4 linked regions of the Lonchura striata genome follow. The protein of the gene in region 3 interacts with the protein of the main gene of each other region in a pairwise test. Links are inferred from orthologs where the notes say so. Each region holds a gene or a part of one and is shown on either strand. Other genes may lie near its edges.

The links.
Region 1: the proteins of L3MBTL3 (region 3) and TTC19 interact in binary tests that used the Homo sapiens proteins (3 or more experiments, as listed by UniProt). The two-hybrid records come from large-scale screens. The link is inferred for Lonchura striata from reciprocal best matches to the Homo sapiens genes L3MBTL3 and TTC19.
Region 2: the proteins of L3MBTL3 (region 3) and PLEKHF2 interact in binary tests that used the Homo sapiens proteins (3 or more experiments, as listed by UniProt). The two-hybrid records come from large-scale screens. The link is inferred for Lonchura striata from reciprocal best matches to the Homo sapiens genes L3MBTL3 and PLEKHF2.
Region 4: the proteins of L3MBTL3 (region 3) and pleckstrin homology domain-containing family F member 1 interact in binary tests that used the Homo sapiens proteins (3 or more experiments, as listed by UniProt). The two-hybrid records come from large-scale screens. The link is inferred for Lonchura striata from reciprocal best matches to the Homo sapiens genes L3MBTL3 and PLEKHF1.

Annotation. Positions count from the first base shown.
Region 1 is NC_134622.1:8,221,831-8,229,176, reverse strand, and holds the start of TTC19 (tetratricopeptide repeat protein 19, mitochondrial), read right to left. Parts: upstream 3,005-7,346; 5' UTR 2,986-3,004; coding exon 2,814-2,985; intron 2,747-2,813; coding exon 2,673-2,746; intron 2,579-2,672; coding exon 2,468-2,578; intron 2,391-2,467; coding exon 2,352-2,390; intron 1,867-2,351; coding exon 1,810-1,866; intron 1,596-1,809; coding exon 1,534-1,595; intron 1,406-1,533; coding exon 1,311-1,405; intron 1,127-1,310; coding exon 972-1,126; intron 725-971; coding exon 562-724; intron 116-561; coding exon 1-115. Other genes in the region: ZSWIM7 (zinc finger SWIM domain-containing protein 7), read left to right, coding at 4,314-4,392, 6,019-6,040. UniProt on the Homo sapiens protein: Required for the preservation of the structural and functional integrity of mitochondrial respiratory complex III by allowing the physiological turnover of the Rieske protein UQCRFS1.
Region 2 is NC_134603.1:23,857,413-23,865,280, forward strand, and holds the start of PLEKHF2 (pleckstrin homology domain-containing family F member 2), read right to left. Parts: upstream 3,007-7,868; 5' UTR 2,894-3,006; intron 2,680-2,893; exon of another isoform or gene 2,500-2,679; intron 1-2,499. UniProt on the Homo sapiens protein: May play a role in early endosome fusion upstream of RAB5, hence regulating receptor trafficking and fluid-phase transport. Enhances cellular sensitivity to TNF-induced apoptosis.
Region 3 is NC_134605.1:60,466,990-60,475,001, reverse strand, and holds the start of L3MBTL3 (lethal(3)malignant brain tumor-like protein 3), read left to right. Parts: upstream 1-5,007; coding exon 5,008-5,084; intron 5,085-5,289; exon of another isoform or gene 5,290-5,298; coding exon of another isoform or gene 5,299-5,315; intron 5,316-5,353; exon of another isoform or gene 5,354-5,423; intron 5,424-6,386; exon of another isoform or gene 6,387-6,469; intron 6,470-8,012. UniProt on the Homo sapiens protein: Is a negative regulator of Notch target genes expression, required for RBPJ-mediated transcriptional repression. It recruits KDM1A to Notch-responsive elements and promotes KDM1A-mediated H3K4me demethylation.
Region 4 is NC_134615.1:9,366,047-9,373,464, forward strand, and holds the start of pleckstrin homology domain-containing family F member 1, read right to left. Parts: upstream 3,013-7,418; 5' UTR 2,950-3,012; intron 2,061-2,949; exon of another isoform or gene 1,598-2,060; intron 218-1,597; 5' UTR 73-217; intron 1-72. UniProt on the Homo sapiens protein: May induce apoptosis through the lysosomal-mitochondrial pathway. Translocates to the lysosome initiating the permeabilization of lysosomal membrane (LMP) and resulting in the release of CTSD and CTSL to the cytoplasm.

The sequences.
Region 1 (7,346 bases), on a different chromosome or scaffold from region 3:
CTCTTGGCCAGCTCAGCTAGTTCCTCCTGGATATGCTGTACAGAAGCAGCATCTCCCTTCTGCTGTGCCTGCTTGAGGGCTTCTTTGTACATTTGTTTTGCTTGCAAGAAATCTTCTGTAGCAAGAGAGAAAAAAGGCTTGGTTACCCACTTCCATCACCCATTTTCAGAGCCTCCTCCTGATGCTGATCACATGCAAAGGACAAGGACTACTTGGAACACATCAAGATCTAGGGAAGCTCAGAAAACATCCTGCCAGGTTTTGAGAGCTGGAGAGCAGCAGTGATGATGTGACCTGGTGCTGCTTCAGCATTAAAATCTCACAGAAACAAATCTCACACATGTCTTCTGTCCTTTTGGAAAAGTTACTGGGGACTAAGGACATGGGAAACAAGATCCCCTGGAAACCATTTGGCTCAGTTTGTGAAACCAATTCAAAGTCACATCTACTGCCTAAACTAAAACTAATAACCCCAAACCAGCACTGCAGCTCACCCCTACAACACAGATCCAGATCCCTGCACTCAGCACAAGCTCAGTGGCTGGGCATGTATTCACTGACCTTTGTGCATCAGGATTGCTGCCAGGTTACTGAGCACCATGTGCTCCTCGGGGTGCTTTGTGTCCCTTGCCAGCTCTGCTGCCCTCCTGCTGTAGGTGTGCGCCTCCTCGTAGCGTCCCTGAGCGTCCAGCACCGTCGCCAGGTCATTCATCAGCACCACACTCTGCACCAGGAGGGAAAAGGGAAGCCTGTGGAGCAGTCTGGGGCAGCAGAAGCACACATTCATTCCCTGCCACACCAGTTAAAGAAGTATTTCCCAAAGAAGCTTTCAGTAAGGAAGTAGCCTGTATTTCTGTATTTGCATGCTCGTCCTTCCTGGCCATGTTTGATGGCAGCAGAGCTGCTCCAAGGCTACCTCATTCCCTACAGATCAGCCTTTCCTTCCCTGGAGTCCTACTACTCCAAATCACCTGTGGATGAGTCTCTCCCTGAACATCATTTGATATCTGCAGAGCCTTCTCATACATCTTTTGTGCTGCTGGGAGCTCGTTGATGTTCAGGAGGTAGCGGCCGTAGGAGTCCAGGCTCATCCCAAGCAGGAGCTGCGTGTTGGCCTTTTCTTCAGCTGCAAACAGAGAGGAGTGAAGTGATCACTGCCACAGGATTCAGCATGAACCCCCATCCTACCACAGCAGAAACTCAGGCAGTGGGAAGACAATGGATTGACATGAAGATGGCACTCAGAAACAACATCAAGGACAGGGAAATGGAAAAAAGATGAGAAGCCTTTGGCAGACAAGGCTGCCCACCTGATAAGACATCCTCAGGCAAGTCCTTCTGCTTGGCAATCTTCTCCTCTAAGGTCAAGATGCAGAACTGGTAGCCAGCTACAGCTAATTTGTGCCTGTAAAGTGCAAAGCAAAGCTCCTTCTGTCCCTGAAGGATCCCTCATTAAAGATCCTCTGCTTGACCACCTCACCAGCATGGCAAAGCTGAGATGAAAGCAAGTGCCACCTCTAGCTGGGAACTCACTGTTTCTGAGCAGCATAGATACTGGCCAGCTTGAGGGATATCTCAAGGATGGCGTTGTCATCCTGCCAGGAGGACACACAACGTAACTGTTACTCTTCTTGTACCTTCCCAACAAAAAGACTACTTTTTCAGAGAGTTTAGACATTAAAGATCCCCATCTTGTTGCCTCCAGTGCTGCCATCCTTTACAGTATTCCAAATTTCCAGTAAGAGGCATTACAGCACAAGAAATAAGGTAAAGAGAAGGGCCCCACTGGAAACCTGTCTCAGAACATACCTCCTTTGTGTCCCCTGCAAGCATATAGCTCATAGTTGCTTTGTAGAGCTTTTCTGCCTGAAACAAGAATTTTGAAGGGGATACTGAGAAATTATGGCATTTAAAACAAAACAGAGGCAAATTACACAGAGGGAACTGGCTCAAATTTGTTGTGTTTACACTCAGCAAGAGCAGTTAGAGGTGAAAGGCTGACCAGAGCCCACTGGTATTGAACCAGTGAGTCCTTTCAGTTTCTGCAGGAGCACTGCAGCAGCAGCCAGACCTTTACTCTGTGAGCTCAGGGCTTTCCCAGATTCTCCTTGGAGCATCTCTGTGCTCAACTGCAGCTTTTCACAGTAAGAAGTATTCCCTCCTTTAACTGTGAGAGCACCTGGTGTGTTCATGGGACTGCAATCCCGAGTTGGATCATTCTGCTGTGCACTGGGACATCTCTGCCCCACAGCTCTGAGCCTGCAGCTTGTGTGTGCAAGCACCCCATACCTGAGACCGTGCACAACACGTCAACTTCTAAAAATTCAGAGGGAAAACCCAGAGTTACTCACATTGTCCAGCTGTCCCTGCATGTATGCCACGTTCCCCATCTGGAAGAGACACAGAGCGCTCAAGCTCCGGCGAGGCGATGCGGCCGCGCCTCAGCAGCAGCAAGGCCGGCTCTCACCATGCTGTAGGTGTAGATGACGGCCTGCCGGTTCTCCTGCTGGTGCGCCCGGCGCAGGGCTTGGTGCAGGAGCTGCTCGGCCTGGGCCAGCTCCCCGTTGATGGCGCTGAGCTGCGGGGACAGCGGGCGCGGTCACCGCCGGTCACCGCCGGTCACCCGGGCGCCCGCACCGCCCGCACCGCCCGCACCGCCCGCACCGCCTCACCTTGGCTCTCTTCAGCAGCAGCACGATGGCGTCCTCGCCGTCCTCCTCGGCGTCCCGCGGGAACGGGGAGAAGCCTGCGGGGACAGCGCGGTGAGTGCCCGGCGCCGGCGGCGCGGTGCCCGTGCCCGCCGCCCCTCTCACCTCCCAGGAAGGCCAGCGCGGCGCCGGCCGGCCGTGCCCAGCGCGCCCACCCCGCGCTGCCGCTGTCCCCGCGGTGTCCCCGGTGTCCCCCCGTCCAGGCGGGCCGGGGCAAGGCGGGGCAGCGCCGGGGGCACAGCCGGGACAGCGCCCGCGGCAGCGCCGCCGCCGCCATCCCCAGCGGGCCCTTTAAGAGCGCGCGTGACGTCAGCGCCGGGCACGGGGCGGGGGCGTGACGTCACTCCCGGTGTGGGGCCGGGCGCGGGAACGGGAACGGCACTGGGAACGGCACCGGCACCGGGAGCCGGCAGCGAGCGGGTCCCGCCGCTCTGCCCGCCCTGGTGAGCAGCTGAGGAAGGAGCAGCTCCCGGGAAGCGCTGGGGATCCCACCCGTGTGGGAACGCCTGAGGGGCTGCACCGGGCCCTGCCCCGGCTCTGCCCCGGGCTCTGTCCCGGCTCTGTCCCGGGCCCTGCCCCGGCTCTGCCCCGGGCCCTGCCCCGGCTCTGTCCCGGCTCTGCCCCGGGCTCTGCCCCGGGCTCTGTCCCGGCTCTGCCCCGGCTCTGTCCCGGCTCTGTCCCGGCTCTGTCCCGGCTCTGCCCCGGGCCCTGCCCCGGCTCTGCCCCGGGCTCTGCCCCGGGCTCTGCCCCGGCTCTGTCCCGGCTCTGTCCCGGCTCTGTCCCGGCTCTGCCCCGGGCTCTGTCCCGGCTCTGTCCCGGCTCTGCCCCGGGCTCTGTCCCGGGCTCTGTCCCGGCTCTGCCCCGGGCTCTGTCCCGGCTCTGCCCCGGGCTCTGTCCCGGCTCTGTCCCGGGCTCTGCCCCGGGCCCTGCCCCGGCTCTGCCCCGGGCTCTGCCCCGGGCTCTGTCCCGGCTCTGTCCCGGGCTCTGGCCCGGGCTCTGGCCCGGCTCTGTCCCGGGCTCTGGCCCGGCTCTGCCCCGGGCTCTGTCCCGGCTCTGCCCCGGCTCTGTCCCGGCTCTGTCCCGGGCTCTGTCCCGGCTCTGCACCGGGCTCTGCCCCGGCTCTGCCCCGGGCTCTGTCTCGGCTCTGTCCCGGCTCTGCCCCCGGCTCTGCCCCGGGCTCTGTCCCGGGCTCTGCCCCGGCTCTGTCCCGGCTCTGTCCCGGGCTCTGTCCCGGCTCTGCCCCGGGCTCTGTCCCCGGCTCTGTCCCGGCTCTGCCCCGGCTCTGTCCCGGCTCTTCCCGCTCCGCAGCAGCACCGGGCCAGGCAGTGCCCCTGAGTGAGGAACACCCACGGGAGCTCTGCTGCTGTGGTGCATCTCAGAGACACCCGTGTGTCGGTGGGGAATCCCCTCCTGAACGTGTGGGGAAAAAAACAAAAACAAAGAAACCTTAGAAGTTGTTTTAAAACATTTTAAAGTATGTCATTCCTTGGTGGGGATGGGGTGCCCAGATAATCCCCCCCGATGCTCAGTATCCATGGTGACCCTGAAGATTTCCCTCTGTCTCCTGTCCTGTCTCGTTTCCAGGGATGAGCCCGTGCCGGTGGGATGGACAGGAGCACCTTGCCAGCTGTGGCAGAAGAGCTCTTGAGAGAGATCAAAAAGGCTTTTCAGGAGACCTCACAGGGTACGTGAAGGAGCCCCGCAGGAGTGGCCTGGCACACCCCCAGCGAGTGTGCAGGGGCCTTGGCCTCCCCTCTCCTACCAGACCCTGTTGTCTGGACCTTTATGTCCCTTTTTTGTGACAACAGACAGCTGTGAAGCACAGATAATGAGGAGCAGCCCCTCCTCAAGTCCAATTCAAAAATCACACCAGTTGGGAGACTCTTTGTGAGATTTATGAGGAGACTGCTGCTTCTTAGAGCTCCTGGTGCACATGGTCACACTTAAGAGATGATAAATTAATGCCTCCGGGCAAGAATTCTGCTGTGCCCTCTGCACTGCCGGTTCTACAGACTCACCAATCCCAAAATTGGGGTTGGAAAGGGGAATTTCCCCAAGCCGTGTCCTGACTGACCGGCAGAGGGGGCGTGCTGCTGATCCCAGGGCGAGGAACAATTTCCCAGTGCTTCAGTGAAAGGAACCCCAGCCAGCGCCGAAACCCTGGCCAGTTCCAGCAGCTAGTTAGGAATAATTACCTTTGCTGGATCTGTGTTTGTGTTTACTGGATGAGTTGCACAGAATGGCTCTTCACAAAGTAAGGGTCTGCTGAAGGAATATTTTTAACTGCAAAACCCAAACAAATAAGAATTCAGATAAATCTGTCTTGAGCACTACGTGGGAGTGAGGAATGGGCAGAAAATTCATGTCTAAACTGTCAGAGTGACCCCAGTGACAGCTTTTTGGCACACTTGCACTGTGACTTCTGTCAGGTTAGAGTAGATCCAAAATCTACATGTGACTTTTAAAAGAGCTTTATAAATCCTGTTGTAAACTAAGCAAAAAAAAAAAGTTTACATCCCTTTAAAGACGTCCTTTTTACAGCAGCAGAGTGGTACTAAAGCACATGTAGAGACAGAGCTGTGGAGACAAACTGATTGATCCCTTTGCAGAATTAAATTCAAATAAAGCTGGAAAAATCAAACCAACACTGCAGGTCATAGAGAGTATTTTGAATTGTCAGAAGAAAATTATTTTAAAGTCAAAAATCCAGATCTTCCAGTGGGATATGGAGACAGAGTACACTGTGTCCCCTGGGTGATAACAGAAAGATCAGAGTGGACAGGCAGAGCCTGAGCTGTCCAACAAACACAATTTGCTTGAGTGTAACTTTCCATCTTAAGGAGACAATAAATGAAGACAAAATGTTTCAGTGGGCTCATAAACCAGTGGCGCCCTGCAAGAGTGTGCTGGGAAAAGAACAACATTTTTTTAAAGTTGTAATGCCTGAGTTCTCAACTCATGCCAGGAGAGTTTCAGGGAAAATAATATATATATATTTTTTAACCAGGCTGAGGACTCCTGCCTTTTATTGGGTGCTTTTAAAAGTAAGATGTCATAAAAGAAAATCCATTTGGGCTTCTGCATTTCTTTTTAAAATGAATCCCTGTGGTTGTGATTGCTGTGCTTGATAAGTGCCTTAGCACTGCCATCATGGATCATTTTGCTGCTCCTTATTGCTTTTTTGGTGGCTAGAGAGGATGTTGAGATCTCTGCAGTCCTGTGTGGCTTCTGGGGATACCTTGAGGGGGACAATAACCCCCCTGTGATGCGAAATTCTGCAAAATCACATTTCCTTTTCTTTCTGTTGCAGTCCCTGATGAGCTGCTGCTGGGGTGAGTGTCTTCAGCTTCAGTTCCTGCCCCAGTGTCCTGCTGAAGGGCAGTTGGTGGTCAGCTCTCATCCTGGTTTTCCACTGTGTTTGACCAAGTGCTGCTGAAACACAAAAACGCTGGTGGTTTTTGTAAATGAACGTTCTGACAGGTTTTTTTCCAGAAATTCACAAAATGATCTCTGTATCACAGCATCTCCTGTGATGACTTGCTCTAATTTAAACCCAAGATATTGAACCTGAGCTCTGAGTCCAGCCTCAGGTCTGGCAGGAGTTGCTGTGGGAGTGGATTGTGTTCCAGGGTGATTCATCCCTCTGCCTTCCTGCCACTGAGCACCCTGAGCTCACTCCTGCTGTTTGAGTCATGGGCACGTGTGATGGAGAGGGAGAAGTGTCCTGATCATCACCCTGCACAGGGGAAATGTTAACTTGGAGACTGAGAGTTTTCTTCTGTTTGGGGTGGGCTCAGGTCCGCTTTGTCACCCTGTGAATAATTTAATCATTCCCAGCAGTAACCTAAGAGATCCAAGTTTCACAACTTCAGCCCTCACCAACTGGTGTTGAAGGTGGAGAAGAGGCATTGTCACAGTGAAAGAGAATTTTAGATTCATCTTTAACCTTGTGTCTTGCCTGCCAGGGGATGAGATCACCAGGAACCCTCCAGGCCTTGATGCCTTTCTGTTAAAGTTATCTGACACACCACCTGTGAAAGGTGTGCTGACTCCCTCTCCTGGGATCACAGTGGCCTTTGAAAGGTGGGATCAGATTTGAAAGCTTTTGCTTCCTTCTCCTCAGAAAAGAGGAGAGAAATTCCCTTGTTAAGTTTAATAATGGTGGTAACTCTTGGCAGCCAGATTTCCATCAATTCCCTGCATCCAGCAGCTCAGACGTATTCTGATTTAATTTCCCAATCTCTTCCAAATCTCCAAAGTCCTTGAATTTCCTGTGGGCACTTCCTGTTGAACTGATCAAATTATATACACAAGAAAAGAATTCCCTAGATTTGAAAAGAGTTCCTGAAACTCACTGAACTCAGCCCCCTTATAGTTCCAAACCTAATCATGAAGGAATGTCTTAGTTAAGCGTTCCCCACCCACCTCCTCAGATGGAGCCAGCCCTTCTTGCCTTGAGTTTGTGCAAGTTTTGGTCTTCCTGGAATCTGTCTGCTTGGCTGCCCATCAATGAGCTTGACTCAGCCTTGCTGGGGCTCTGCCTTGCTCTGTCCTCCCTGGCCTTGGAAACTTTCCCCTTTCTCTTGGTCTCCTCCTCTGTTTGGTGCTATCTCTTCATCACTGCTGATTTCCTTGTTG
Region 2 (7,868 bases), on a different chromosome or scaffold from region 3:
GCTAATGTAATCATATCTTACAGTTCACAACAACAATAAAGCAATCTTTAGTAAACATATTCTACCACACCTATCTATAGAGTACTTTTTCATCCCCCTCAACTATAAAAACAAGTCCTCCAATGAATCATGAAAAATTATCCTACAACACCAAACTTGGCACTTGCTGCATTAGGGAGAAAGTTTTTAATACATTTTTCTATTTCAGAAATCCACATTTGCCTGTAAGTACTCTCTTTTGGAATATCATACTTTCATCTAAATACTGAATTAAGTCAGGAAAGTAGTAAAATATACATATATAAGCATGATCTGTAACTTAAAAAAAAATTAAATGGAAAAAAGTAAGCTTGAATATTAACACAGCTTGAAATAAGTCACAAAAGCGCCTTTACGATTTGAAGCTGTACAAAACAAGGTTTCATTTCCTAGTACAAAAATCAAAAATTTTTTATTTTTACCTACCATCTTCTAAGAATCATATTATTTGTTAGTACTGAGATTTCCTTATTTGACATCGCCCATTAATAAGCGCAAAAACTGGCATGCCATTAGTCTGCTAGGACACAACTTCCAACATTTTATCTAACATACATTTTCAGAAAATGAGGTCTGCAAGTACTAAAAAATTCAACTCTGCCTTATCTATGTGCCATGCCTTGACCCTAAGCTTTCACTTAAACACCTCTAGCCCTCTTTGGCGAAGACAAGCCACTAAAAATGCTGTAAGTGTATGACACCAGTGTTCGTATTCTGCCATAACGGCTCTCATGGGGCTTTTGGCAATGCTCTGTCATATCATGCCTCACGTGAAATTGCAGTTCCATCTCTTTACTGCTCTGAAACTATCCTGCATCCACTAAGCACAATAGTGAAACTTAAAAGTCACCATACCTTTTGAGTAGAGCAAATATTTTACCAATGATAATTTTTGTAAACCAAAGCGCTTTAAGATACTATGGATAGATCTGTCACTCTGGGGACATGTCTATTTACTATGGTTAAAGCTCATCCCTTGACTTAAGGGTAACAGAACAAAGCTCTTACTGAAAAAATATTTCATCACTGCATCTAATGAAAGCTTGCTTTTCAGGTGAAAAGATGGTATTCTCTTTCTACAGAATACAACGGTGGAAACTGAACCAGCTTCTCCAGCTAAAAATTTCTACATAACAGTTTTTATTTAGTGTTTAAGGAACTTCCTCTATGTGGGCTTGTATGTAGAGCAAAACTCAGACACATCAAACGGCACACAGCTGATTTGCATTCAGAAGGAAGAATTTGGGACTCAGGCATACAACACTTCACTTTCACTGTTGTTTTCAACAAAATTGGTGGCACTAAAACACTTGGAAAAGTATTATTTAAGAAACTGAGCTAATATAAAAGACATTTTACAACACTGGGATTCCTATTACCCATTGGGATTAGTCAACAGTTTTTAGATTAGAGGCTAAAAGCAAGAGCACTGCCTTCTGAGCTAAAGAACCAATTCCATTCTGCATGCTGATGACGGCACACAAAGCAATTAATCTGCAGGATCTCAGCACCGATTACACTGCTGTCTTTTAAATACTTCCCTTCTTTCAGACAGGCATCCCTAAAATAATTCAATAGACAAGTATCAGAACTTAAGATCTGGATATTTAAGTTCTCCTTATTTCATGAGAGAAAGAGGAATTTGCAGTCTCGGTTCTGAAAGATTCCTGTGTTGTGGGTCTGCTTTTAGAGTCACTTTGCCTACTGTATTAACCTCATCTGACCTTAAGCTGTTAGGCACATTGAAGCTTCAGATATAGTGTTTCTCAAATAAGCATCAACCCTTTCAGAAACTCTTAGCACAGCCTGAGGACAGCCTGAATTAGAACTTAATGATGCTTCTGGAACCATTTGCATCAATTCAGCCAAAAGACGATTCCTGATCTCTGGTTAAGGATATAAAAGGTCCTCTTGGCTATCAACAACCATTGCACTGATGCTTTATGTCAAAACTCGAGTTACAGCTATTTCCCTCAGTAGGGACAAAGCCGATGCCAGGACGTGCTGCTCAGCAGAATCACCCATCGCTTTCTCGCCGCGATGAGCAGTTTTGCCATTTATAAACATGAGTGCCTATGAACAAAGTATTTCGAATGAGGCGAGAGGAAAAACATGCGGCTGTCTTTTCTCGAGCTACTTTCAGAAAACAGTTTACGGGCCATACGTATCTCTGGCAGACCTGTTACACTCCCCTCAAAATAGGTGAATTTCATAGAGGAAAACAAATAGCACCTTATGCTCGCAGCCGCACGGCTCGCGGTTCCGCTGTTTTTTCACAACAGTGCCAACACTTTTCAGGCGCCCCGCTCCGAGAGCGACACGGAGCCCCCCGGGCCGCCAAGGCTCGGGGCAGCGCGGCCCCAGCCCGCCGGGGCAGGAAGCGCCCTCCGCCCGCCCGCCCGTCCCGCCGCCTCACGGCGCCCCGGCGGAGTCACGAGTCCAGGAGTTTCGGGCACTTACGTAACGCCGCGGGGCCGCCGCCGTTGTTGTTTCTCCCCTTTCCCGAAGACGAACTCGTTGCCGAGAGCCCCCAACTCTCTCAGTGCCCTGGGACAAGCTAGCGCCCGCGGCCGACGCTTCCCTCCCCGGGTCCTGCCCGCCCCGCCGCCTGCCTCCCTGCCGGCGGGACGCGGCGCTGCCCCAGCCCCGGGCGGGACAGCGGAGCCCAGCGCCGCCTCCCGCCGGGGCGCTCCTTCCTCCCGGGCAGCCCCCGGCTCCCAACATGGCCGCGAGAGAGCGGCCGGAGTCCCGGCGGAGGAGGGCTCCGCGAGGAAAGTTTCCCTCTCGCTGCCCGGCCGGCCCCGACCCAAGCCATCCCCGAGCGCCCAGAACGCGGCCGGACAGCGCTGCTCACCCGGCACACCCCGCTCCGGCCGCCGCCTGCCCTCCCCGCCGCACGGCGCGGTCATACACCCCACGCCGTGGGACGGGCTCCGGGACACCGCCCGGCGGGGCGGGGCCGCCGCCATCTTGGGCGGGAAGGAAGAGCGGCCCGGCCCGGCCCGCGGAGCGCCCTGGGCGGGAGGGCGGAGCGGCCCGGCCCGGCCCGGCCCGCGGGCGGCGCCTCGTGGGAGCGGGAGGCTGCCGGCTCCCCACCGACCTCCTGCGGATGTTTGAGAGACGTTCTTTGTGGGCGATCGCGGGTCTGTGTGCGCGCCCGTGGCTCTAAGTAAGCTCGCCCAGAGGTAATTCAGGATGGGCACGTTTTTAAGCACTTCTCTCTACGCAGCACATGGAAGGGAATTAGTGACATGTTTCAGTCTGAGGAGTTGTTCGTCAGCCTAGAAGAGTTTCCACCAGAAACGCTGTCAACACAAGGAGCCCCTTCCACCTTCTGTGTCAGAGTTTTTTGTGTGTACACATTGAGTCATCCAGAGCAGTATTTTTCAAATCTAGCCGGCTGCTCGGCAGCTCACCTGGTCCTCCAGGATTTCCAGCCGATGATGGATGCTGTCAGAGGGGAAGGGTGGCTGGGAAGGTTCTGAAGAGAGTGGAGCAAGAGGAGATAAAAGGGTACAGCACCATTAACTTCGATGGTGTTGCTCTGATACTAAAGTCTGCACTGGAAAATGGCCCAATGGGCTGCCTTTTTTTTTTTTTTTTTTTTTTCTCCCCAAGAAAATTTCACTTACATGCTATATGGCAGTTTCATTTTTCAAATTTCACATTATTGAGCAATACCATGTCTGGCTTTTCTGCAGATTAAAAATAGGTAGTGGGGCTTTCCAGTAGAAATCATGAAACTGCTGAACTTTCAGCTGAATTTTCTTCCCCAGCTCAGACAGGGACACAGGCAAGAGCCACATCACTGAGCTGCATTTCTCCTGCTGCAGAAGAGGCACACAGAAAGGGAGCAAGGAGCAGGACATGGAGCTCTGAGCACCCTACAGCATGACAATCTAGTCTTCCAGTTTTCCCTCAAATCCATCCAGTGCGTCAGCCTGAGCTGTCATGTAATTACTCTTAATGCACTGATTTATATAAGGTGTGGGCCAAGCCGTTTAACATGAGTTTTTTGGAAACAGGTGCTTGTGGCTTAAGCCACAAATCTCAGATTGCATGCAGCAGGGTGTATTAGGCCAGTGCTTCATATGTAAAGAATTCGGGCACAGCCAATATATAAATTGGCCACAAGTGTCTTCATTTTCAACTGTTGTCAGTTGCAGAGAGATCTTCACACCAGAGGATCTTTTATGTATGGGCTGGCCTGGTTCTTGTGAACCAAAAAGAAAATTGCTGTGAACCTTTCTCTTTGTGTTGTAAACTTCTGTAGATTTAACTTATCATCTAAATCAATTTTCTTGGCATCAGAAGCAGCTTTGTGGGTAATTAACTTTTCTTTCATGCTTACAAATAATTTTATAACACCCAGTTGAATTAAGATGCAGCAGAAAGTTGGATACAGGCAAAGTGAAGCAGTCCTAGTGTTTCTGTCTGCGTATCTGTGTTTTAATTCTCTTCCTGAAGTGCAAACTGACATTGTTTTCTGAAAGGTTTACAAAGTGTAACAGCAGTGAGATGCTCTTTCTACCATGTATAGTAATGGAAAATCAGCACAAGACCTTAACTCCGGTTAAGAGAATAAGTAACCTGTTGTCTGAGGAAAGCTGGAAACAAAATGTTATCATGCAAAGCAATTTTAGTGCTGTGAAAGCCTGCCATAATTTTTTTCTGTTAACTTCCTATATCTTCAGAATTCTTTTTTTACTCTGTTTAGCAAGAGGGGAAAATAAATATGAAAACGGTCCGTTTGCAAATCCGCAAACACTTCTTCCTAAGTATGTATAAAAAAAGTAAACACTTGACCTAATTTTTAAGTAGTTTTGAAAAACTTGGCTAAATGCCAGTAATTCTTGCTGTGTGTTCACTATATCAAAATGTCATTACAGATCATGTGTGTCAGTTTCAATAGAGTTTTTTGTATTTATCTATCTTTGCTCTTACATGTCAAATTTGTATCTTAGTACTGCAGAAGCAATCTTGCAAAAAACTAACTGCATAGAGAAGATGCATGGAAGGAAAAGGATGGGAGATCATGGGGTGTTCTACTGGAAGAAATAGACACTAATGTATTTTACTATTTCACATAGAGTGATTATTTGTAATTTTAATTTAGCTGAAAAAAAACTTATTCCAAAGCATAGCTTGTCTAAAATGACATTTATTTCTGCTCTCTAATTATAATCTTACTGTCAGTTATGCCAGAGCTGTGCTTTAAGTGTGGAGGAAATACCTTCTTCAGAAAATATGAAATAGCAGTGATACGCTGCAGCACTTGTCTTATACTGTGCTTCCTCAATTGCCTTATGATTTTTGAATGGACACTGTTTGCACACAGCTTGCATTTTCACTTCAAATCTTCACAGGGATCACATGAAAATTGAAGTAAATCTGTCTGATGTTGAGCTAATGCAAATAGTTGTTTCAGTAAGATTTTTACTTCAACATATCAGTGAGACATTTACACTATTTATGAAAGCTTCCAATAATGGACTATCTACAACTCCCTTGGCTTACAGGTTTCTCTCAAGCAATTTGAAAATTGCTGTGAACCTTTCCTTTGTGCTGACATTGAAATTCTGATGGAACATTATTGAGGTTGTAGCTTTGTTTAATATACAAAAATGCTCCAAAATTTTCAGCACTGTTGAATGGGGGTTTTTTTAGCAGTAGTAAAACATAGTTTTAAGAAAATTAAAAAGCAGTATTTTAAGAAATGATGAAAACCAGCATATATGTAGGTTCAGAGATTTACTGTCAAGTGAGATTATTCTTTAAAAGTGGCTTGCCTTTAAAAGCTGCAGTTGGAGATTTTTTTTCCTTTAGAGTTTCATGTACAATGAATTACCTACTGGTAGTCAACTGTAATTTGCTTCATGGAAGCCCACTTGTCTCTCCCACAAACTGTTTTGTTTTTTTTTTTCAAATGCTCAAGAATCAGTTTAAAAATTGACAGAACTTGCAATTAGAACCTTGCAGTCTTTGTTGTGCTTGAGCTAAAATAAGAATCTGTCCACTTCTTACAGAGGAGTAACAGCCGAGTTCTGTGTTACAAAATGAAATTCCTAGAGATTTCATTAACATTATATATTTTTGGTCAGCAAAATTCAGTCATGTTATATTCAAATGGGACTTTAAATGCTTTGCTTTCAGTAACTTCAGAAAGTATTACAAACAATGAAAAGAAAATCTTTGTCTTTTGCTTCTTTATGAAATGAAATATATTTTGAAGCAGCAGCATCTTGGTTTTTCTAGTAGATGGTAATGCAGAATACCTTCCCAGCTTTAGGTTACTTCTTTAGTACCTGCAAAGGGAGACCAAACCCAGAAATTTAAAGCTATTTAAGGGACAATTAAATGCTTTATTCTCAAATCTTGCCTTTTGTGAAAACGAGAATGAATATGCAGAACAGGTGATTTCTAAGTTATCCTGGTCTCAGCTTCTGCACTGGAAGTTTGTTTGGCTCCACTGTGTTGTACCCACCCCTCTTGGTATGTCACAGCTTTTGGATGTGTCCTTCTGGGATGTTACTATCTCTTCTCAATGTTTTGTACATTATCCTCTTTATTAATTTCATTTGCTGCCTTGTTGAATTGTGTAGGAGCCCTTTTTGACTTTTCTCACACTTTAGCTGTTACTGCTGTGTTTGTTATCCATGAAGTGTTTTGCTAAGGAGAGCTGTGTTCTTTAGGGATGGGGGTTATAATAGACACTTTTCCATTAAGATTTTTTCTTGTGTGATTTTTTTTTTTTTAATTGCAGAGACTTCCTATTCTATGGTACACCAGGGACTGGAAAGACTCTGGTAGCTTGTGCAGCTGCTAATGAATGTAGCCAGGGTAACAGGGGAGTAATCTTTTTTATGAGAAATGGTGTCAACTGCCTGAGTGAATGGGTAGGAGAATGTGAATGAAAGTTTCATTCATTATTTGAGTAAGTAAGATTGAAACATGCCACATGTTCTGTCTGAGTTGTAACTAATTTTCTGTGGTCAAGAAGAAATTCTTTTTCATGTTTTGTCAGGTCCTTCCACTGAAATGGGACTGTCGGTGTTTCCTTTTCCAGTGGGGTCTTGGGGGTCTGGAAATCTTGGGATGTATTGGGAAATATTAATAATGCAAACAAGAATATTTTGCAAAGCACCACCATCCCCCTCAAAAAAACTCCAAACTAACCAGTTCCAGTGGTCTTGTAACCATGTTTTTCATGTATTTTCCCTTACAAACAGTGCTGTTTTCCTGATATCAGTGTTCCTGTTTTCTTTGTAGGCCTACCAGATGTGACCTTCAGTTCCTGAATGAGATCAATGTTCTTGCTCCCATACACACCAGCAAACAAAACCAGGTTCATAGGTGGTTAATGTCTTGTCATCAAGACATGTCCCAAGACACGTCATCAGGAAGGTGCTTGATCTTTGTGAAAAGAAGACCACAACCTACTTAACTTGCTGTGACACCTTCGTTGAACCTGAGAAGTAGTAATTCAGTGCTAGTGAATTTCAGATTATTTTTAAATGAGAATTTAAAACAATTCACTAAGCTTGAAATCAGCCTAAGCTCTGTATTGTATTATCTGTATTTAATGTCTTAAAATGAGGCTTTTGCAAATCAGCATCTTTTCATTAAAAGCTTGTCCTTTTTGAGGGATTGGTGGAAATGGTTATGTGGAACTGAAGAAAATTTACTAAACCAGTGAATGAAAATCGTATTTTTCTTTTACCTCAGTTGTTGGAACACTTCTGGCACTAACGGATGGCTTTGCCAGCGGAAAGGTTGTGGTAATGAGATCCCATTGTGGCAGAGCCATTTCAGGATGGAGGATGACACTC
Region 3 (8,012 bases):
CCATTGTATTTTAAGGACCTTGGATGGGACTTCCTCCTCTTTTCCCCATGGTGTCAGGCTTTGCTGTCCAAGTAGACCCACAGGATGAGCTATTTATTCACTTCCAGATATTTTTAAGCAGCAGTTATAGACCTAAAAATTCTACAAACAATTATTAACATAACCCCTGCTTTTGTTGCCTATTTCAACTGAATTGCTTTCCACCTAAGAAGTGAAGACTGCAACCCTTTCTCATTCAGCTTCTGTTCCCAAGAGTGATGTTTATTCTGTGCTGCCTCATCAACTTGCCTACTTTGTGCATATTAAAAATACAGCCTTAGCTCTCAGAGTGACTACTAGCTTTTGGATGACAGGTCTGGAGTATCCAGCCTGAACAGACTGTCCAAAGTAATGCTTTGCTGCAAGGCTGTTATAATCTTATGCACAGTTGGAGTCAAAGTCTTCTACTATGGGAAATGATAATGGTCCTCATATGCAGAGTGTGCCCACATACCTTAGGAAAGAGCATGCATGAATACAGTTCTGTGCCAAAACAAGCCATGGTGGTTACCCTCTTACCCACTCATAACCACGATATTACTCATTATTATCCCTTAAAACTACATCTAGGAAAGTCCATTTTTAAAGACTGCAAATCTCCTGTTACTTCCAGCCTTGCCCAGCACAGGCTTCCTCCTCCCCCTTTCTCTTCTTGACCCACTTACACTTTGCCCCTTTCCATACCACTTGTCCTCCTCTGTGGTGTGTCTCTTTTCTTACTACCCCCTCCTTTCCTCTCCCTCAGGACCTTTGTTCTTACCCATTTCTTTGGGCCTATCATCCATTCCAGACCACACATCCCTGTTGTGTCTTCATACCTCTTGTCTCTGGGGCCACTTCCTCCTTGCTTCCTTCAACTCATTTAAGATCTGCCATTGCTCCAAGCTCTCCTCTAATGTCCAACTCACATGTCCAAGCTTCTAACTTCAGCCTTCTTCTGGTTCAGGAGTCCTCATCAATATTCCTAATTTTCATTGGACTCATGCTTGCAAATTACTTTTTCTGTTTTTACAACTCATTATTCTGGTCCAATGCTCCCCAAACCCTTAATATGTAACATGGCTCTGGATTCATTCCTGAACTGACAAACCCATAACTTCCCTATCTGCCTTTGAATTTCTTTAGGATGAAGACCAACTCCGGAAAGCTCTGTAGTCTTGCAACTTTGTGAAAGCAGGAATTTTCAAAGGCTTCATCAATAGCTTCAGAAACAAGTTCTCCCAGGTTGCACTACACCTACATCCAAAGCAGGTTGGGCTGAAATGTCTTTGGAAAATACTGCAGTTCCTTTCAAGTACTCATGCTCAAGTGTTCTTCCCAGAAAAAAAAAAAGGCTGTTTCCTACCCAAGTCTCACTGTGGTAGGGAGTTAGGATCCAGTCAGGCAGGCACACAGATCTGAAAACTAGGAGGTATTACTGGCTCTCCAGTTTAGCATGACATTTGTATCAACTTTGATAAATATTCCAGGATGAGTGGCAGAAACAGTTGATTCCATTGATAATAAGTCAAGTTGTGGACATCAGTGTGGACATCAAATTCTCTGGACAGGGAGACAGTACTATTGAGAGGATTCAGCATGGACTGCAATATGCTCGCTTCAATTGGTAAATAACCACATATACATTCTCTCTTCATTCTCAACTTCTTAAAGCTTTAAGACTTCCATTTTCCTGGCTTAGAGCTTTACATAATATTACAATATATTTTTTTTCCCCAGTGATTGCCCTCAAACCCTCTTTCCTGTCCTCCAGGTTGGGGAAGAATCACATGACAGACTGATAACCGTCACTGGTGAGAAAGGTCACACAATGAGCTGCACAGGTTATTAGAAGTGTGATAAAAAGTCCCATACAGGCTATTTTTGATTAATAAGGCCATCTTTAAGGCATGTTAATCATAGAAATCAAGATCCTGGAAATGTCAAATTTTTTGGTAAAATGTAAATATGGATTCTCTTTTTCTCGGTTTATGTAGATACTTCCTGAGGAGCCATTAGATCACACAAACCCAATATGCAAACTGAATGGATAATGTACATTACTTTACTCTCATCCCCTTAAATGGTACTCAAGATTTGGATTTTGGAAGCCATGTAGATGGATGTTCATGCACATGCCCTTATAAAAATAATCAGTATTTGGCTACAGCACAAACACCTATTCAACGAGTTACAAGAATACTCAGAGAGAGATCAAATTTAGCTACTCCAAAATCTGTCATTAAACATACTGCCAAAATCATATTAAATGCCATACTTACATATAGAAAACAAGTGTTTGAAATTCTCTGCCTTTGGAATGCAGATGGAATTCTAGTATTAAATAAAATGGCAACAGAACTAATGTTTAAAGAGCATATGTGAATAATGTTTAATCTATTTTTATCCAATAAATTTTTATTGACAAAATAATGGGTTTATTATACATCATGAGCTGACACACTATGATTAGGGCAAGGATCGAAGAAGAGACAGAGAACAGAAGGTACCTTTATTAATTTCATATGTCCTTTTATTTTAATCAAAGTGTTATCAATTTGATTCATAAGGCAGCTATGTGCTGTTTCAAATCCTTGGTTTCAGTTACAGCTTCCAATATACATCCTTCATGGAGGTTTTTTTTCTGTAAGGGGCTACCCTCTTATAGTCACACATATGAATATGTTTCCCTTTAAGATTTTCAGAGGAAAGGGACAAAGTCTTTCAAGCATAAATAAAATAATGGCAGATAACTAGTTCAGTTGTACTCTTAGAAATGTATCTTCTTAGCAGGGTATGTTATACCATCCCCCAAAACATCAATATCATCTGGAGAATAATCAGTACAGGTCAAGCATCCTAAAGAGTTTGAAAGTACACCAAATTGCACCATTCTTTGAGTATCTTCTGCAGAGCCCAGCTAATTTAATGCTACAATAGAATAATCTAGTTCTTTGGCAACTGTTTGACTTAAAACATTTCAACAACATTGAACATTGGGAACATTGGGAAATAATTTTAAAAAAAGCGCTGAATGACTTCTGTTACAGTTTATTCTTTGTTTCTAACACATAAATTTCCTCAAGTAAGAGCTCACTGGTGGAAAGTAAGAATTTTCTCATCCACTATTTTTTGCATCTGTGTTTTAGAAGAGTTAAAATACATGTTATCACTAATTATTACAATTAGGTTAATACTGTTTTCTGTAATTAATTTCTAATGAACATATGTTTATTGATGAAAACTGCATCCTATATGCAATGCCATTTGAGCTGAAGGGGTGTTTTATCATCATTGCTCATAATAAAACAACTATAATGTATTTTGCTTAGGCACCAATTCTGTAAATACTTAATTATGAGCCCCTTTTTACTGCTGTGAAAAAAAATCATTTAAATAGACAGAAACTGTCAAGATAGTAGGGCAAAAGCCTGATTGTCTGAACTGTTTGAACATGGGCATAGTTTAAGGGAGCGGAGTTGTCAAGCTCGGTTCTTAAATATTTTAATACACGTTCTGAAAGTAAATTCTCTACTGAGCAGAAGCTGAGGCTAGGAAGTCTTATCAGAGATGGAGCATCTCTATCTTGTGTCCAGTGCAACGCTGTCCCCATCATGGGGATCAGAGGGTAATACAGTATGCATCCATAATACCTAAAAAGGTTGTACTTAGTCTTGTCATTTGTATTTATTTCTATTGATATTCAGCTAATACCTATTACTGGCTGACTATTAGTATTTATCATTATTTCTGTTCTAGTAATTTTGGCCAAAGTTGGAAGTGTAGTTTTAGAAGGGAGCATATATAAAAGCAAGACAAAGCATGGTCATTGATCACTACTGGGATTAACAAAAGATGTATTGAGATTTGAGAGTTATTTTAAGAGATATATAATAATATGCCAAACTATCAAAAATTCAGAATTTACTTTGTCAGTTTTTGTCTTCAGGACAGAAGTACTTTAGGGAGATGCTGTGTGGTCTGAAAAAAAATTTAGGATTAGTATAATGAAGATTGTGTTCTGTGTTCTTTTATACTTTGCCTCAAACTGCATACATAGATGTATATACAGTTTTAAAAGTATCATATTTACATCTGATCACAATCCTCCATCCTCCCTCTTTCCCAGTACACTTAGGCCTCATACAGGTCTGTGCTGTGTAATGTTCTTCTCCAAACAGTTATCCTTGCAGGTGAAGTTCATCCTGGGCATTCCCATGAAGCAACAAGGGCCATCAGTTTTCACTGTTTTCTGAACGAGGGACAGAAAATAAATGAAGATGTTATTTGTCTTTAGGAATACAGGGCACCGATGGAGAGTATTCAAGAAGGTGGCACATCTGAGACTAGTTTTATTTGGTGAGCTGGCTAGGTTGTAAACCAGATGAGGCCCATCACAAGGAATGTGTCCATACCGCAGGCACCCCATATTTCGGGAGCGCAGGAGGAGCCTGGCTCCGCGCTGCCTGGCTTCTGACCATCTCCTCGAGGATGCCCTCGCCGGCCGCGGCGGAGGGCAGCCCCTCTCCCGCAGGACCCGCTCTTTCCTTACTGGTGCCCAGCTGTTCTGCCTCTGCCCCAGGTCTGTTCTGCGCAGAGGAGCCACAGACAGGCTTTCCCCGGTTCCCCGGCGCCCACCACCCAACCTTAGCAGGACCTGGCAGGACCCCCGAGGACCGGACCTCCCCCTCCCCGAAAAGTGCAAGGCGTTATTTTTGAAAGCGCCCAAAATAGCGCGCGACTGCTGCACAAGTCTCCTTATTATTCCTCCAGCGTCGGCAGTAAATCAGGGGGAGGATGCACCTCCGCCGGAGCCCTCGTCGGCAGCCGCGTTTTCGGCGAGGGCGATGCCCGCCGCCGCTGGCGGCTGCCGGGTGCCGGCCGCGGGCGGCCGGGGCGCAGCGGCAGCGCAGGCGAGGGAGGAAGAGGAGCCGCGGCGGCGGCGGCGGCGGCAGTTTCCCCTTTCCCCAGCCCTGGCTCCGCGGGCGCATGCTCACTGTGCCCGCAGCCCTGGACCATATTTGTCAGGACTACTCGAGAGACGGAGAAAGAGAGAATTTGGGGGGGTAAGGAGCGGCGGGTTCCGATCTGATCCGCAAGCCGTTTAGGGAGCCGCGATGGCAAAGGCTGGTGACGGGTTTTAATTTTCCCCCTAGGTGAGGATGAAAGTTAGAGAGAGCCTGAGAGATAAAGGGAGAGACGCACCTCCTCTCCCTCCCTTACGAAACGTATCTGGGGAAGGGGAGGGGGGCTTCTCCCCGACCACCTCGAGCAGAAAGGATGGAAGTTAATGCCGGGTAAAGTGGGCAAGTGACTCGCAAGTGGCTGGGGAGCGGCCGGGGCACCGGGGATCTCACTAAATCATAAGTGTACGAGTGTGAAAGAGGAACAAAAGAAAGAGAGAGGTGCCTGGTATTTCTTTTTCTCTTCCCAAACACATGAAGGGAGTACATGTATATATATATGCGCTGTATATTTATATACATACACAGGCACGCACGCACGTATGTGTATGTACATATATATATACACGGGGGAGGGAGCTGTGGAAATGTGTTTGTGGGGGCCCTTCTTTTTTTTTTTGGGGGGGGGGGAGTGGGTTCCAAAGGGAGGGGGAAGGGAAGGGGAGAGACATTTTGCAGACTTGCCCCACCAATGAGCTTGTCAGTTGGCTGCATTTAATGACACTTACGGGGCACCGCCGTGCTGTTGGGAACAATGTGATGCGGGTGCCGCGGCCGGGCGGCGGGGGGAGAAGGTGGGGGGGCACGGGTGTGCATGTGAGCGCCGGGCGGGGAGGGAGCGGAGCGGAGGGAGGGGGCTCGCTGCCACCCGAGCCCCCCCTCCGCAGCCCCGGCTCTTTGTTCGCACAGGCTGAAGGACGGGGAGAAGTGCGGGCTGCGAGGGGGCAATGCGCAGCGGAGAGGGGTGCGAAAAAGGGTTTTTTGGTCGGAAGCGGCGAGAGGTGGCGGCTGCCGGGATATACCGGTTGAATGTGCCGTGGGTCCCCGTGTGCGAAGGCCTCTACCAGCGCGCAGCAGAGAGTTTGTATTTTCCGTCGCTCCTGCACTTTGTGTGATTGTGTGCGAGAGATATTTAAAATATAACCATCTCCCAATTTCCGCCATTTTGGGGAAAGTTTGCACACACATACACATACAAAAAAAAAAAAAAAAAAAAAGGCAAGCTTGTAGCAATTTTTTTTTTTTTTTAAGAGACGAAAAAAAAAGTCTTTTGCTCGAGTGCTCAGTTCCTGCCTCTGTGCGGTGCGTGCGCCGCGCTCGCTGCGGCAGACATGTGAGGCGGCGGGGGAACGGCCCCTGCCCGCTTCGGGCTGCGTGCGGCGGCGGGGGCCGGCGCCTGTCACCGCCGCCGGCTCCGCGGGCCGGCCTCGAGGGGCTGCCGGGGGCTGGCCCCGGGGTGCCGGCGGTGTGAGTGAGCGCACATACACGTGAGTGCGTATTTTGCCGACGACGGGGGCAGGGAGCGGGGGGGGCAGGCAGGGGCAAGGAATAGGACGCGGCTTTTCTGTTAAGTTGCGCGCTCTCGCCTGAAGTGCGGCCGGGGTGGGGGAGCGGCCCCCCGCGCACACGCCCGTCTCTCCCTCCCCGTCTCCGCAGCCGGTGCATATAACAACAGGATATAGGCACACTTGTTCTCGCTAGCGCGTGTGGGGCGGTGTTTTTTCGGTGGGGGGGGGGGGGGGGGCGGAAAGCGATTTTTTTTTTCGGAGGGGGGGAGGGAGCGGCGGCCGACGGGAAGGCGCTCCCGCGGAGCGGCCGCCCGCCCCCGGCCGGGGCTTCGGAGAGGCTGCCGGGGCTAGAGCGCCCGGGGCGGGGGGCGCCGCGTCGGGGCCGCAGCGGCGCTCGCTCCCCACCCCCTTGGTTTTCCCCCCTCCCCGTCGGAGCGGGCGCACGCGAGAGCGTGAGAGAAAAAGTTGCAGCGCGGGGCCGGGCGCTGGCGGCTGCGGGGCCGGGCGGGGGCGAGCCCTCCGGGGAGGCGGCGTGTGCCGGCCCCTCCCGCGGGAAGGGGTGACTTCTCTGCCGAGGGATGCCCGGACATCGCCTGCGAGCGGCCGAGTAGCGAGTCCCCGCAGCCCCCTAGAAAAAAGAGAGCTCGCCCCCCTCCTCCTCCTCCTTTTCCTCCGCGCTGGGGGAGGGGAGGAGGGAGGAGAAGGTAACATTTTTTAAAATTTTTTTTCCTTTCACTCGGAGGCAACCTCCTTTTCCCGGATCCCGGTCCCGGGGGGTGGAGGCGAAAGGGGGGGGGGGGCGGGAAGGAAAAAAAAAAAAAGCGAGGGACCCGGTAAACAAGCAGAGTCCCTCTCTCGTTGTGCAACTTCCTCAGGAACACTTAACACCCAGTTCCTCTCCCACCCCCGCCCGCACCTCGCTCGCCCCCACCGCCGCCCCCTCGCCGGGGCAGGGGGGCACTCTTCCCCCGCTCGGTTTAATTGCCCGGGGCGGGGGCGAAGGATAAAAAGGCAAATTCGGGAGGGAAACGGAGACACTCGAGAACCGCTTTCCCCGAGCGCTCCTCCCGAGGAGCGGGGCGGGCGCTTTTGTCTCGGCGGTTCTGCCCGAGCCTGGGGAAGACGCGGACCTGAGCCCGGGTTTTCTCCAGAAAGTTTCAAGTGCAGCAAAAACACGCCGCAAAACTGGCCAAGGAGGGACCTCTGCTGGTAGGCCGCGGGCTGCCGGCGCGGGGAGCGGCGGCCGCGCCCGCCGGGCCTCGCCGCAGCGTTCCGGCCGCCGCCGCGCTCCGCCGCGCCGGGCGGGGAGCGGCGCGGGCGGCTCCGGGCGGGCGCTGCCGGGACCGCCGGGGCACGGCCTGCGCGGGAGCGGCGCGGGGCGCGCTCTGCGGCCGTGCCGCTTGTCCCGTTCCGGAGCGCGGCTCGAGCCCCCGGGGTTTTTCGGCTTGAGGAGCGGTGCGCGCGTTGCGAGGCCCCTGGAGATGCGGCAGCTTCCCCCGGGGCGTGAGGGTCACGGCCTCTT
Region 4 (7,418 bases), on a different chromosome or scaffold from region 3:
CATAAGTGACTGGAGAAGAACACATACACATAATTAAAAAAAAATAGTAGGAGTGGGACTTACAGTGCTTACCTTTAGGCTAGGACAACTCACTCTATGCTTCTGTGTGCTCCCTGTTCAGATGGGGGCTGAAACAGCCATCAGAGGGGCTGACTCCTCACATCCCACCACAAGCCAGATCCGTCCTGCCCCAAGTTCCACACAGTGCTCAGCTTGACTGACAACATAAAACCCAATTTCATGTTAATACTGTGACTCACTGCAAATAATCCACAGTTTGGCTCTGGAATGCAAGCACTTTGTAAATCTGGTAAATAAAGATAGCTGCTGAGTGCTACTATGGTCTGCTTTCCTGGGAGATGAGAGCCTCTCCCTTTGGAACAAAGTGAGGATATGAAGTCTAATCTATTTTATTAATTTTGGTAAATGTTTTTTCATGTTTGCTCAAGTTTGCTATATCAGGCAGCAGGGTCACAGTGCTTATTAGCAAGTGCTACATATGCCCATGTACCACATGCAGCAGCAGCAGCTTACCCAGCTGAAATTAAGGTGGCAAGATGTGTTTTTCTGGCATTGCTGATTTTCACAGAAGTTTCTGGCATGGCAAATTCTGGGGTTGTTTTTTTCATCAAGTTCTGCTGGTTCTGCATGTGATCAAATACTATGCAGTGAATATGACTGATGTTCAAAGGAAAAAAAAATACAGCTTGGCACTCCACTCCAGAAGTAAGCACGCCACAACACTTAACAATGAGCGCTTGTTCACTTGTGATTATAAACAGCCATGTTGGTGCCTGCCAGGCACAGCATTTCAACTTAAGCTCACGGGTCAGCAAGTCTGGGGTATGTTTTTCAAGTCTGTATGTATCTAAGGCTTAGGTGTACCGAAGCAGCGAGCTCTTCTACCTGATCCTTCCATTCCTGCCATCAGGCAGAACTGACAGCCTTGGTATCCACTGCACACCTCATGCATTCCACACGTGGGATAGTCCATTCCACTGAGATCTGACTGCTGAGGGCTGCCAGCAGAAAATGCCCCGAGCCCCACCTCTCTACAGCTTTCCCTGAACTCCTGGAGTTAGGGCTGGCATAAGCTCTTGCTCACCGAGGACAGCAAGTAGGATGCAGCTGCCCGAGCAGGCATTTAGAGCAAGAAGAAAAAGGTTCCTCTCCTTTTCCTGCCTGAAGGTATTTCAGCTTGCTTCTCCCTCTTTCCCGGCATGTTGTAAGTGCTGGGGTAAGGAGGACAGGCTCTGGTAAACCCCCTTCCTGCCATGCTTACGAGGAACCCAATTCAGCACATGGACATTTAGGGTCATATCACTCCATTAAGAATGTCACCAGTTCCAGTGGGACATGGACTGACTGAGCTGCCAAGCTTCTCGCCACTGCTGCTCAGTGTAGAGCCACAGCAAGGGGCCGGGCAGCGGCTTTGGAGGAGCTCAGACTGATGCTACCGAACCCAGCTGTTGGCAGCCTGAGCTCAGTTGTGGCTCTTGTAAGTGCCAGCCAGGCTCAGAGGCGCCCAAGCAGCCGAAGAAGGGAAGGAATGGAGGGAGGAAGGGGGAAAACCACGAAACTCAAGGCAGAGCCTTACCCGTCCGTTCCCCCCCGTCTCTGTCCCCGCACTTATCCCGAGGCACTGATCCGCGTGACGGCGACAGACACGGGCCGGCTGCCGAGGGGAGAACCACCGAGGGAGGAGACAATTCCCTGTCCCTGCCAGCGCCCGGGAGCTCACGTTTCCCTCTGGAACAGGCGCAGGGCCCAAGCGGGTCCCGCTTACAGCTCCGCAGCGGGAGCAGTGCCCGGGCTCTTGGGCAAAGTTGGCAACTTAAAGAGTCCCGTCTAAAAACCCCAACACGCCCGCTCCTCTGGAGCGGCGTTCGGGCCTCAGGCTCCGCACACGCATGACGGGATCCCCGGTTCCAGCAGCGCACACCGCGGGATCCCCGGTTCCAGCAGCGCACACCTCGGGATCCCCGGTTCCAGCAGCGTACACCGCGGGATCCCCGGTTCCAGCAGCGCACACCTCGGGATCCCCGGTTCGAGAAGCGCACACCGCGGGATCCCCGGTTCCAGCAGCGCACACCTCGGGACCCCGGTTCCAGCAGCACACACCTCGGGATCCCCGGTTCCAGCAGCACACACCTCGGGATCCCCGGTTCCAGCAGCGCACACCTCGGGATCCCCGGTTCCAGCAGCGCACACCGCGGGACCCCGGACGGGCAGCGCACACCTCGGGATCCCCGGTTCCAGCAGCGCACACCGCGGGATCCCCGGTTCGAGAAGCGCACACCTCGGGATCCCCGGTTCCAGCAGCGCACACCTCGGGATCCCCGGTTCCAGCAGCGCACACCGCGGGATCCCCGGTTCGAGAAGCGCACACCTCGGGATCCCCGGTTCCAGCAGCGCACACCGCGGGACCCCGGTTCCAGCAGCACACACCTCGGGATCCCCGGTTCGAGAAGCACACACCTCGGGATCCCCGGTTCGAGAAGCACACACCTCGGGATCCCCGGTTCCAGCAGCGCACACCGCGGGATCCCCGGTTCCAGCAGCGCACACCGCGGGATCCCCGGTTCGAGAAGCACACACCTCGGGATCCCCGGTTCCAGCAGCGCACACCGCGGGATCCCCGTTTCCAGCAGCGCACACTGCGGGATCCCCGGTTCCAGCAGCGCACACCTCGGGATCCCCGGTTTCAGCAGCGCACACCTCGGGATCCCGGGTTCCAGCAGCGCACACCGCGGGATCCCCGGTTCGAGAAGCACACACCTCGGGATCCCCGGTTCCAGCAGCGCACACCGCGGGCTCCCGGCACGGCCCCCCGCCGCCGCTGTGTCCCACGGCGGGCGGAGCGGAGCCCCAGACCGCCCCTGTCCCCGCTCCGGCAGCGGAGCCCCGGCTCTCCCCGCCGCCCCCGCCGCAGCCCCGCTCGCCCCGTACCTGCCGGCCGGGCCCGGCCGCGCTCCGCGCCGCGCCGGGCGGCTCCGCCCGCCCGCGGCAGGGCCGGCCCCGCCGCCGCTCCCGCCCACCGCCGCCGCGGCCAATGGCGCCCCGGGGCCGGGCGGGGCTGCGCGCCCCGGGGCCGGGCGGGGCTGCGCGCCCGGGGCGCCCGAGACGGGGCAGAGTCGGCTCCGTGTCTGCGCCCGGGGCGCTGCGCGTGTCCCGTAGCCGCGTGTGCCCTGCCGACATCCACCGCCCTCCTGCACGCTCTCCGCTTGGCCGCCCCGGCGTAACTCAGTGCATTTAGTTTGCTGGCAGTTTTGAGTTTCAAGTTTTGTCACCCCCTAATCACAGTATATTCCATCGAGTACAATGGTGCACATGGATGACATTGTATAAAGATTGTTTCAGTGATAAAATACCCCCAGTGTTTACACTTAAGAGGGATATAAATAGAGACATTACACTGGTCCAAAACAGAAACCAGACCTCCTCCCAAGCTTTGGATCACATCTTCTAACCACTTTTGTGATTATTCTTACAGACGTTTGTGTAGAGAACAAGCTATTAACACTGAAATTGGCGTGTCAGGGAAATCTTTTGCATTCCTCTCTCCCACCCGCTCACCCCCCCCCCGCAAGACAGTGCCGGAGGGTGCTGGGGTCGCTGGGCAGAGGCTGGGAGTGTCCCTCAGCACTGCTGAAGGTGCTGCAGGGGAGCCGAGCTCTGGCCCTTGCCAGGTGCAGTCACACAACCCCAGGCCTGTGCTGATCTATAATTCAGGTGCTTGCTCACTTTCTGTAATAGCTTTTCTATTTTTAATGGGAAGTGATGGCCCTGTCAAGGTATTATAAATATTTTTTTTTCCCAGGTTTTCATTTTCTTTGGTAATAATAATGTGGGCTGGGACGCTCATGGTGCACTTTAGAGCTAAAGTGCTTGGCAGTCATGGGAGTTTCCACAAGACCTTTTTTCTTTACACTTTGTGTTTGTGTCAGATGAGCAAATAAATGAGGACATGGACTAAGTTCAGTGCAGTATGTGGCTGCCTAGCAGTGTACAAGGGAGGGTTACAGAGGTGGCCATCGGGTCACTGCCAAACCCCTGAAAACCTGGGAGAAAGCTCAGCACAGAGGGGAGGCTGCTGGGCTGAACAGAGAACAGATTCAGGTTATCACTGCATATATAGTGATATATATATATGTAGTGATATATAAAAATATAGTGAGATATATATATATGTGTATATATATATATATATATATATATATGTGTATATATATATATATAGTGATATATATATATATAGTGATATATATATATATATATAGTGATATATATATATATCTCAGGGCTTTATTGTGGGGTCTTTTCAGTCCTCCTCCCTTTTCTGTGGGGCGGAGTGGTCTGTTGGTGGAAGGAGCATGGTCTGCCTTCGCAGGCTGGTTTTCACACCTGGGAGCTGGTTTGTGTTGAGCTGGAGTACCAGCTGTGTCCTGGCTGCCTTGGGACCAGTCTGCTAACTCTGAGGAGATCTGCCCAGCTTATAAATTAATTCTCTACAGAATGCTGGGGCTTTTTAAACAAGAGCTAACTGTAAATATCTCTAAACTATAAATAGACAAAGCACTGAACTAAATATGCCAGAGTTTGTTTTAGCTGTCAGACTAATTCAGATCTAACCAGCCATATATTATTATTCTGAAACTGTTTTTTTTTCTCCTGTATGCTAAAATTATTCTGAATTTGCTCTTATGTTATGCTACTCATAGTCTCTATTACTGAGATATAACCCTTTAATTTCTTTTTCTTGTTGTTTTTCAGTATGCTCACCTGGACAACACATCAGCCAAACGCAGCACTGGATTGGCCAAACCACCTGGGATTTGAAGGTTTTTTCCTTTGTTCCTCTTCAATCAGAAGTGGAGGTGTGCTCAGACAACTGTTGCATCAGGGAAGAGAAGCCCCAAGATACACTTTGGGTTTAAGTCAGTATTGAGCAGTCACAACTGAGAGCTTTCTGTTGGTATTTTGTTTGTTTGTTTTGGAAGCTATTACGTACTTGTTTGAATTCCTTACTGAGATACAAACTGGGAGTTTCAACAGTAATCTTAAGAGTTATTTGATAGGCAGGCTCAGGAGCTCTGTTTTTCCTGGCTCTAAAACCAAACATTTGTGGGACCACTTGAAAAAGCTGCAGCCCAAATTACCAGCTTTTAATGCAACTAGAGCAAGGTAAAGAGACTTTATCTGATTGCCTCTGGCATTTTCTCCAAAGCCACTTGTTTCTCAGTAGCAGAAATATCTTGCCCAATTGGGATGCAATAATTTCAAAGCAAGTAAAGGAAACTGCAGCTGCTGAGCTGAGTCAGCCAAAGGTAAGCTCTGCAGGGGAGAAAATGTTTTTTTATTATCTTCTAGTGGCAAGATTACTACAACAGCCTACAGGAAAAGATTAGATTATAACAGTAACAAAAACATCTGTTAAATTCTCAGCTCAGTGTATGTTTAGTGCATGTTTGGAAAAGAAGAAAAAACAACCCAGACATTTGATAAAATTCTTTTGAATAAAACTCAATATTTAGATTCAGTTTGGGATGCTAGGAACCCACTGTGATCATAGGATAGACAGTGATTTTAACTAATTTGCTACATAGGGCATTTAATCAGTGCATAAGACAGCTTTTAGCAACGGAGATTTTATTGAATTGAGCTTGGCATACTGTGACCTAATAAAGGAATAAGACAACTTGTGTTCATCATCCAGGTTACCTGTAGGGATGAGTGACCTCTGTCCTGAGCAAGAGTGTGGGGGGATGAATGTTTGTCTGGCCTGGCTCTCAGGGATTCTGATTATCAGCCTCTTCAGAAATGTGTGAATTGCCATGATTGATTTGTGTCTCTGAAGCCCTACCAGCTTCCTCTGCCTGCTTTAGAAATGAGTTGTTCCAAGTCTGACAGTGCAGAAATTACATCCATGCTCAGCTCTGTCAGTACAGGGTGGAACTTCAGAGTGCCACTTTCCAAATTCTCACTGGTCCACATGCCTTAAAGCTGCTGCCCAGCAAGCCTGTTTCAGAGGCTGCTTGTGCCTTAGGGCATCTCTCAACCCTCGTGCAGGAATTACCCACTTGAGTGGCTCTGGAAGCCTGGCTGCAAAATGTTTGTCCAAGTGATGAAAGTATTCCTGAAAGCAACCTTTGCTTGCTCCTCTGCTTTTTGCATAAAGCAATGCTCAATCAACATGCTTTTGTTTTTCACAGAGGCATTGCTGTGCTTTGCTTGTGTGCAGCACTTTATCCTCAGGATCCTGAAGTGCAGCATAAATTCTAATAACTGTGAAGGCTTGTACCCGTCTCACAGGGAGTTCCTCTCTTGGAGAGTTTCATTTGGTCACACGGTGCTTGGTCACCGACACAGAACAGTGGGGGATTTACTCTTGTCTTCAGTAGCAAATGGCTCTGGCTCAGAGTGAATCAGCTGGGAGCTGAGGAACATCCCCCAGAGCTCCTGACTCACAGCCTCATGTGCCTCACCACAGGGCCACGTCCCAGCTCACGAATCTCGGTGATCCTTACAAAAGCTCTTCTGTGCAAGGATGACAAAACCTCTCACATTTGCAGATTCTAAAGTTACAAGTTTGTCTTGGTGTTTGCTGCACCCTTCCCTGCTCACACCTCAGCCCTGCTCCTGGGTCACATGAGTACAGTGCTGTAGAGTTGGAATTCAGTCTTGAATAACCAATAATGATCAATAATTTCTGAGCTGGTCGTGATGAGTCTCCAGGTTGCACCCAAGATGTGCCCAGTGCAGGGACTCACACCAGGGGAAGCTCAGAAGTCTGAGCTCTCCTGAGGAGCAGGATGGGCGAGCACACACTGAGGAAGAAGCAGGAGCCCTGACATGCTGCAGCCCTTATCTCTGAGTAGTGTTCCCCAGTAATGCAAACAGGATGAGTTGAAATACAAAAGGTGAAGGTGAGGAAAAGCTGAGGTAAGAGAATATAAAATGTCAGGCCTGTGATAAGGTGCAGGTGTTCATTGCAGAGAGGGGTGTAATATTAGAATAAAATGTATGAAATTAATGTGGGGAAAAAAGAGGTGTATCTAGAAAAGTTACTGAATGCATTTTTCAGCATGCTGTAGGAGAGTGCTGCACCTTCTGAGCTCAGCCTTCCTTCCAGAAGGAACATTCTGGGCACGTTCTTCTGAACTCTTTCCTACTGCTGCTGTTCTGTCTGAACAGAGGTCTCACATTCAGTGTGCCTATATTGCACAAGATAAATCATGGTGAACAAATAACTGGTGAGCAAGTGCTTCAAAGACTAAACTGAGGTAGATTAGCCATTTCAAATATTTAAATAGGGAAAAAGCATGGGAGAACAAGAGTGTGATAATCACTGGTTAATGCAAAAAAATCTAAATGACTGATTGATGATTAGTCAAAGACAAATAAAAGAGTGTCATTCC